Linked DNA regions of Lonchura striata. The protein of the gene in region 1 interacts with the protein of each later gene in a pairwise test. Links are inferred from orthologs where the notes say so. Each region holds a gene or a part of one and is shown in the gene's direction. Other genes may lie near its edges.

Region 1 (3,922 bases):
AAGCAAATAGCCCAGATTTCCTGACTCCCAGTGAAATACCTCAGGCACAAGACAGTCGCCAAATATATATCATGGTAACTTGTGCTCCACTAGAAACATAGGCAATGGAAAATAAACACAGGTGACATCCTGCCCATCTTCCTCACTCATCCATAAAAAATTGCTTCAGGGAAAGGGGAGGAAGCATTTGGCCTCAAATCAGAAGAGATATCAGAAGTGTTTCTTGCACGTTCACATTTGTCCTACCAGCCTACTGAGGGAGTCAGATGTGAAAGACAGACACAGAGCACAGTGACTGATGAGCTGCTTGCACACTGGTCTATTCTGAACTTCATGCCAAAAGAGGAAATACTTTTAAAATTTGTTTTCTACAAGATAGTAAAGCTGGAGGAAAAATGAAAACCACACCTTTTTTTTTTTTAATTATTTTTTCAATACTAGTGGTGGCTAAAATATGCTCTATGTTCAGCCTCCAGAGTTTTTCTAGCAAAGCTTAAAACTCAAAATTGATAAAACATCATGATAATAAAAGAATGATTGTCCACAGTTACTATTTTGCCATATGCTAAATATATGAATAAGTAAAAAGCAAAGATTGGAGCATGAAATGGCCATACAAGAATAATTTTCTAGTGAGATTTTCCCCCAGATCTTTTTTATATGATTAAGCAAAACTGAAACTTCTAGTGGTATAAAATAGAACCTTGGAATGATTTAAAAAATTATATTTAAAAGAAGAAAAAAAAAACAAACTTGCTAGTTATCAAGAAACGTATGCTGTGGATCAAGTGGGTGGATAGGAAGGGAGGACTAAAACTATATAAGTAGTGTCATGCTTTCTGCTTGTGACTGCAAATGTCAGTATTGTGTAAGTGTCTCTGCAAAAGAAAGTTCTTTCCTTAAAGTTCACAGTTAGTTCTACAAATACAGTCTTTGGCTGAAGAGCTAAAAAAAGAAACAACAAAACCAGTATGTGAGGGGCTGTTCAGCTCTGACCCAATTATGATAAAAACAAAAACTGAAATAAGTAATAAGAACGTAAGCAAATGCACACTTAGACTAAGCAGGTACCAGCACACAGGAGATGTAGCCATCAGATCTAGTTTGCTGCATGTGCTATAAACGTGGCAATACATGCCTGGAGCTAGAAAATGCACCGCACACGCGTGCAGCATCACACTGTGCTCTGGTTTATAGCAGCAGACCCGTGGTAGCCACTCCTGGGTGGCCTGAGCTCCCTGGCTCCTGGAACTTGGCTATATTTAGCCCGGCTGATGTCGCCTGTCAAGTGTGTCCTGCTGCTGATAAGGTGCCTAGTCGACAACGGGGGGGATCGAGGGGAGGAGCAGCATGGGGGCTTCCATCCAGTGCTTCTTTAGGGGGTCTCAAAAGCCCTGCAGTCACATTCCCGTGTGATTCATACCCTGCTTCCTAGATGCAGCTGGGAGCTCCACCAGAAACAAAGTGAAGATGCCAGAGCCGGTAAAGAAAACAGGTAAGGATCGTAACTGGCAGACAAAACTAAGAACAGCTTGACAGGAAAAGTGTGAGTAGATTATGTATTCTAGAGAAATGAGATGTCTCAATGGAAAAAAATAAATAGATAGGAAAAGGAAATTTTATTTTATTAAGTTATAAATGTAAGAGATATTGAGTGATCTTGAAAAGAAATCACTAACTGCTTTGATAACCTCAGCCACAGAATTTTCTCAAGAGACTTTGGATGAGGAAGAAATAGAGGTGAAATGCATTTAATTCTCAAATGCTTTTAATTTCTCCTTTCCTTTCTGGTCACCTTTAGGACTCAGAAAAAAAAATAAGTAAAGGCTTGTATTGACTCTCTTGGACAGTAAATAGTACAAACCTCTCCTGCTTTTATTTCGGGTTTGGGTTTTTTTCCCCTGACAATTTGTAGAAGAAATATTGCCAAAAAAATTGATGGTGCTTATTGTGAATGAAATCTCTGTGAAAATGAAAGCAAACAGTTCCTGGTCAGAGTTTATTCTTTCTGTTTATTTCAATGACTGAGAATAGAACTCTAGGGAAAAAAGGCTTTTGATTTATACTGTGAAGAATACATGCAATTTCTTTTCTCTTGCCCTTCTTCATTCTTTCTCCTTGAGCCAGAAGATAACTCGCCCTTTTCAGGAAACCAAGGTCACAGGGCCACATAGAAAAATGCCAGAAAAGTATTTCAGATTTATGAATGTTTTAATTAAAAATCTTCAAATAAGGAATCACTCAGATGCTGCCCACATAGAGGAGGCCTAGAACAGGGTACAAGGTGCAATGGATCTGCTGTTTTGATGAGGAAGAGAGCCTGGGAAGAAAAGGAAGAGGCACTTAACTTCAGGACACCTGCAGAGGAAGACATCTCAGGAGCACTTTGCATCCACAAGTTTGGAAAAAAAAGCTGACAAAATCTGAATTTATGATTGTTTGTCAATTGTAAACATATTCAATAGTCAGGCCTGGAGAAACTTGTACTAAATCTGGGATTCTCCACTTTAGAGCTGTCACTTCATTGATGCCAGTGCACACCCAGAATCGCCACTACCTGAATGTGCAATAGAAGGTGCACATGTTTTTAATCATGTGCAGTTTCCAGAGTTAGCCAGTGACAGCTGTGGAGTTTTTTTAATAATGGCCTTTGTGCTTTGCAAAGGCCTGAGCAGGCATTGGTCTCCTCTCAGTTTGGCCAGTGAGACAATCTCCTATGGTCACAATAACAAAAGAACTTGCTAAGAACCTTCATTTGACCAAAACATTTGAAATCAGCCACTGCCAGAGGCAGACCTATTACACACCCAGAGTCTCCCCCATTACAACCTGCAAAGCACCAAAGCATGGTTAACTCCAACAAGATTCTTTGTGTTCCTTCTGTATGATAACCCTAAAACAACAGTGATGTCAGCAACCCTTCCATTGTATTACAAATATAACATCATTTCATGTTCATGAGGTTACCATTTCTAATTAAAGTAGATTTGTATATAAAAAAGAAATATATATTAGATCCTGTAATTGTACACATAAACGTGAAAATATAAGCTGCAAAGGTTCAGTAATCACTCCAAAAATGAGAAAATCATACTCATATTCTGCTTTTAAATCATACAACTTTTAGGTTTTATTGAAAATGTCTCATTGTTGTGAATGCAGACAAAAATAAATACAATAGAGTAGGCAAAATTTGACAGTGATACCTTGGCATTATGACTTCTGATTTCTAATTGTTTAACTGCCTTTTAATAAATATTTTCATTCTCTGTGGGTGAGAGGCAGTGTCTCTGTTTGTGAAGATGCCCACTTTTGCTGGCTAATGGTGAAGGGAAATTCTATTCCAACTTATTTCTCCAGAGAAATCTAACAGGTGTCTAACATCACTAGTCCCACGCAGTTCTTATGAGCAAGCTAGACCAAACACTGGGATTATCACAGCAGGGGGAGGAAAAGCTCTTGTTACTCACTCTGACCGAGACAGAACCAGTCACATGCCCCACAACTTTTAGAGAGGATCTTCTCAGTCTCCCAGGAGACACTAATCCCTTTGGTTTTCTATTTCATGTTGTTTATACAGTTCAAACCATTTCAAGATGGGATAATGCTGAGCATCATCTCAGGAGGGCCAAATAACCACTGGGCAATTCATACTTGGATAAATCACAATTCCTGCCTTTCACACATCATATAGTTGGATTACTGAAGAGCCCAAAGAAATCCCTAGTCTGTATTACTGAAATTTGTGCATCTGGTGTATAGGCAAAAGAAATTTCTTCATGTCAAAGAATGACCATAAATATTCTGCTTATATCTGCCGTTTTTACAAGGCTTTTAACACATAAAAGGAAACAAACAACAACAACAACAAAAATAAAACCAAAACAACACCACCCAAAAACTAAATAAACAAAACCGCCCA
Region 2 (3,922 bases), on another chromosome or scaffold:
ACTGTGAGGGTCTGGGAGAGGGTTGTGGGGGAACTAGGGGCAACTGAAAGGGACTGGGAAAGAACAGGGAGGAACTGGGAGGGAACTGGGAGGGTCTGTGGGTGAACTGGGAGGGACTGGGAGGGTCTATAGGAGAACTGGGAGGGCCTATGGGGGAACTGGGAGGGACTGGGATTATACTGGGAGGGTCTATAGGGGAACTGGGAGGGACTGGGATTATACTGGGAGGGTCTATAGGGGAACTGGGAGGGACTGGGAGGGACTGGGAGGATCTAGAAAGGAACTGGGAGGGTCTTTGCAGGAGACTGGGATGATACTGGGAGCATGTGTGGGGAAATAGGGTGGGACTGGGATGATGCTGGGAGAGTTTATGTGGTAACTGGAAGGGACTGGGGGATGAGGGAGGGTACTGGGTAAATCCTGGGGGATACTGGGACTTACTGAGCAGTACTCTGTGTATGTGTGTGTGTGTATGTGTCTGTGTGGTGGTGTATTGGAGAAGTACTGGTGGGGCTGGGCTGGGATGCTGGGATGTAATTTGACTTATTGGGATATACTGGGACATACTGGGACATACTGTGTGTGTGCGGGGGGGGGCTGCTGTGTCCCGGAGCAGGACCAGAACTGCCCTGAGTCTGCACTGTCATCCTCTGACTTGGAGACTACTGAAAGAGGTGGGGCTGAGTAGTGGAAGGGCTGAGGGGTGTCTGGGGATACTGGGGGTGACTGGGGGGGTCTGGGATGATACTGGGAGGGTCTAGGGGAACTGGAAAGCACTGAGAGGGATGCAGGAGTACTGGGGAATACTGGGAGGTGCTGGAGTGGGCAGGAAGAGTGAGGCACTGCAAGGAACAGGGAGCACTGGGGAGGGCACTGGGACTTCCAAGAAGGAACTTGGGATGGAGATGAGGACAGGCAGGAACTAGGAGCACTGTAAAGAAACTGGAAGCACTGGAGAAAAATGGGAGAATATGAGATCACCAAGGATGGACTTTGGATGGGGCTGACTGGGAGCACTGGAAGCTTTGAGAGGGAATTCTAGATAATGGAAGCACTGAGGATGGACTTGGGATGGGCCAGCTGGGAGGAGTGGGAGCATTGGAGAGGAACTGGGAGCACTGGGAAGGAATGGAGTTGGGTTGACCAGGAGGAAGTGGTAGATGTGGAGAAGAACAGGGAATTATGGGTTCACCAAGGAAAGAGCTGCAATGGGGTCAGCTGGGAGGAACTGACAGCATTTGGAGGGTCTCATCCTTCCTACCCCACTCAGCCCTGTCCAGCGCCACCATGCCTGATGTGGAGATGGCTGAATTTGGGGAGGCTGCCCCCTATCTCCGCAAGTCGGAGAAGGAACGGTTAGCTGCCCAGACCCGCCCCTTCGACCTGAAGAAGGATATCTTCGTCCCTGATGAAAAGGAGGAGTATGTCAAGGCCACCATTGTCAGCCGTGAGGGCTCCAAGATCACTGCTGAGACCGAACATGGCAAGGTGGGGGGACCCCAGCAACACCTGGGACACCAGAACCTCAAAATAGCAACTCTATTCCACTTGGGACACAAAGAACTAACCCACCTTCTCTAGAATCCAAGAAACATCTAGACCCCAACATGCCTTCTCCAACACCTACTGGATGCTCAGATTCCACAGCACCTTCTCTAGAACCCAGGAAATATTTAGACCCTTATCCACCTTTTCCAGAACCCACTGGACAGCTAGACCCTATCCAACTTCCTCTCTTACCTCAGAGACACCTAGACCCCAAAACATCTTCTTTATCACTTGAGGGACACCTAGACCTTATCTGGCTCTCAAGGGAACACCCAGATGCCCAACTCCCAGCCCTTTAGGAGGGAACAACTGGGGCAACTCCTTGCCCTGTGTTCCTGCTCCATTGGGTCTTCCTTACATTGAGCAGACAGTGACGGTCAAGGAGGACCAGATCATGCAGCAGAACCCTCCTAAATTTGACAAGATTGAGGACATGGCCATGCTGACTTTCCTCCATGAGCCCGCCGTCCTCTACAACCTGAAGGACCGCTACGCATCTTGGATGATCTATGTGAGTTGGGAGCCCATGAGGTCCTTCAGACCCCATCCAGAATTTGGATGCTCCTTTTGTAGACCCCTTGGGCCACATAGGTGCAAGATGACCCTTCTCCAGATCTCATGGCTCACCCATAACTGGGATGATCCTTCTTTACACCTCTTAAGCCACCCAGATCCAAGGTATCCCAGACCCTTTGGGTAGTCAAAACCAGGATGTCTCTTCTTCAGATCACAGAACTGGGACATCCTCTCTTCAGACCACAGGGGTCACCTAAACCCAAGATATTACACAGACACAAGAGGTTGTTTCGGCAGACCCCTTGGACCACCTGGTAGGGTGGCACCTCCTTACTCTGACCCACCTACTCCTTTCTCCAGACTTACTCAGGGCTCTTCTGTGTGACTGTCAACCCCTATAAGTGGTTGCCTGTCTACAATGCCGAGGTGGTGGCTGCCTACCGGGGAAAGAAGCGGAGTGAAGCTCCACCCCACATCTTCTCCATCTCTGACAATGCCTACCAGAATATGCTAACAGGTAGGGACCTTCTGCAGGGACCCCATATTCATCTTCCCTGATCCTTTTTGGGGAGCAGGAGATGTGGGGCATAGCCAAGGTGGGCTTCAGAACCTCATGTTTCTTCTCCTTATCCCACCAGATCGGGAGAACCAATCCATCCTCATCACGTGAGTAGTCTCATCTGTAAACACTGTCTTAATCCTGCTCACAGCTAAGATCCCCCAACCTGGCACATAGCTCCTCCCCTTCCCTCTTGAAATCATGCCCACAGGCCAACCCTTTATCACTGCATGGATTTGCCTGTGGAGGTCCATTATCCATCCCTCCCCAGTGAGTTCCCACCCCCAGCACCATAGCACCAGTATCCAACCATTGCTCTCCTTGGCTACCTTCAGCGGAGAATCCGGGGCGGGGAAGACTGTGAACACCAAGAGGGTCATCCAATACTTTGCCGTTATCGCTGCCATCGGTGACCGTGGCAAGAAGGAGGCAGGGGCCCCGGGCAAGGTAAGGACAGTGAGTGGGGGAATGACACCCAGGGGCTGGCCAAAATTCTGCCACCTGTCTGTCCAACCAACAACACAATCAACCACCCAAACAATTACCCAGCGGAACACCCAAAAATCCAAGCAATCATCCATCCAACCAACCAACCAACCAACCAACCAACCAACCAACCAACCATCTATCCAATCTTCCATTCATCTGTCCCATCACAATCCAACCAACTAACCGTCCCTCCATCCACCCATGGCATCAACTCACATACCTGTCCATCAATCTGACCACACACAAAAACATTCATGGACTGCTGTGCTCTCCCATCCAACCATTTCAACCTCACACCCTACATCCTCTGCCCCTTACTGTGAAAACCCCCCTGACACTGTCCCACTCCTCCCAGGGCACTCTGGAGGACCAGATTATCCAGGCCAACCCTGCCTTGGAAGCCTTTGGCAATGCCAAAACTGTCCGGAATGACAACTCATCCCGATTTGTGAGTGTTGGGGGTGGAGTCTGTGAGGAAGAGTCTGTGAGGTGGAGTGCGTGGGGAAGGATCTGTGGGTTGGGTTGATCTGGGATAAGGTGGCCACCTCCACCTCCTTCCAATACTCTTCCAGGGGAAGTTTATCCGGATCCATTTTGGGGCTACTGGAAAGCTAGCATCAGCTGACATTGAGACCTGTGAGTAGGCTGATGTCCATGAGAGGGAATCTTGTTGTCCACCATCCCTTCTATCTCTCCATCCAACTGTCCATCCTTCTCGTCATGCCACTATCCATCTACCATTACACATCCTCAAACCTTCCTCCATTCATCCATCTGACCCTCCATCTCTTCATCCCAACTTCCACCCAT

What was found.
Region 2: the proteins of MYBPC3 (region 1) and myosin-7 interact in a two-hybrid assay, tested with the Homo sapiens proteins (2 studies listed by IntAct). The link is inferred for Lonchura striata from reciprocal best matches to the Homo sapiens genes MYBPC3 and MYH7.

The regions. Positions count from the first base shown.
Region 1 is NC_134608.1:39,282,118-39,286,039, reverse strand, and holds the start of MYBPC3 (myosin-binding protein C, cardiac-type), read left to right. Parts: upstream 1-1,337; 5' UTR 1,338-1,470; coding exon 1,471-1,495; intron 1,496-3,922. UniProt on the Homo sapiens protein: Thick filament-associated protein located in the crossbridge region of vertebrate striated muscle a bands. In vitro it binds MHC, F-actin and native thin filaments, and modifies the activity of actin-activated myosin ATPase.
Region 2 is NC_134603.1:70,135,915-70,139,836, reverse strand, and holds the start of myosin-7, read left to right. Parts: upstream 1-1,287; coding exon 1,288-1,488; intron 1,489-1,915; coding exon 1,916-2,059; intron 2,060-2,424; coding exon 2,425-2,581; intron 2,582-2,702; coding exon 2,703-2,730; intron 2,731-2,958; coding exon 2,959-3,070; intron 3,071-3,467; coding exon 3,468-3,560; intron 3,561-3,684; coding exon 3,685-3,748; intron 3,749-3,922. UniProt on the Homo sapiens protein: Myosins are actin-based motor molecules with ATPase activity essential for muscle contraction. Forms regular bipolar thick filaments that, together with actin thin filaments, constitute the fundamental contractile unit of skeletal and cardiac muscle.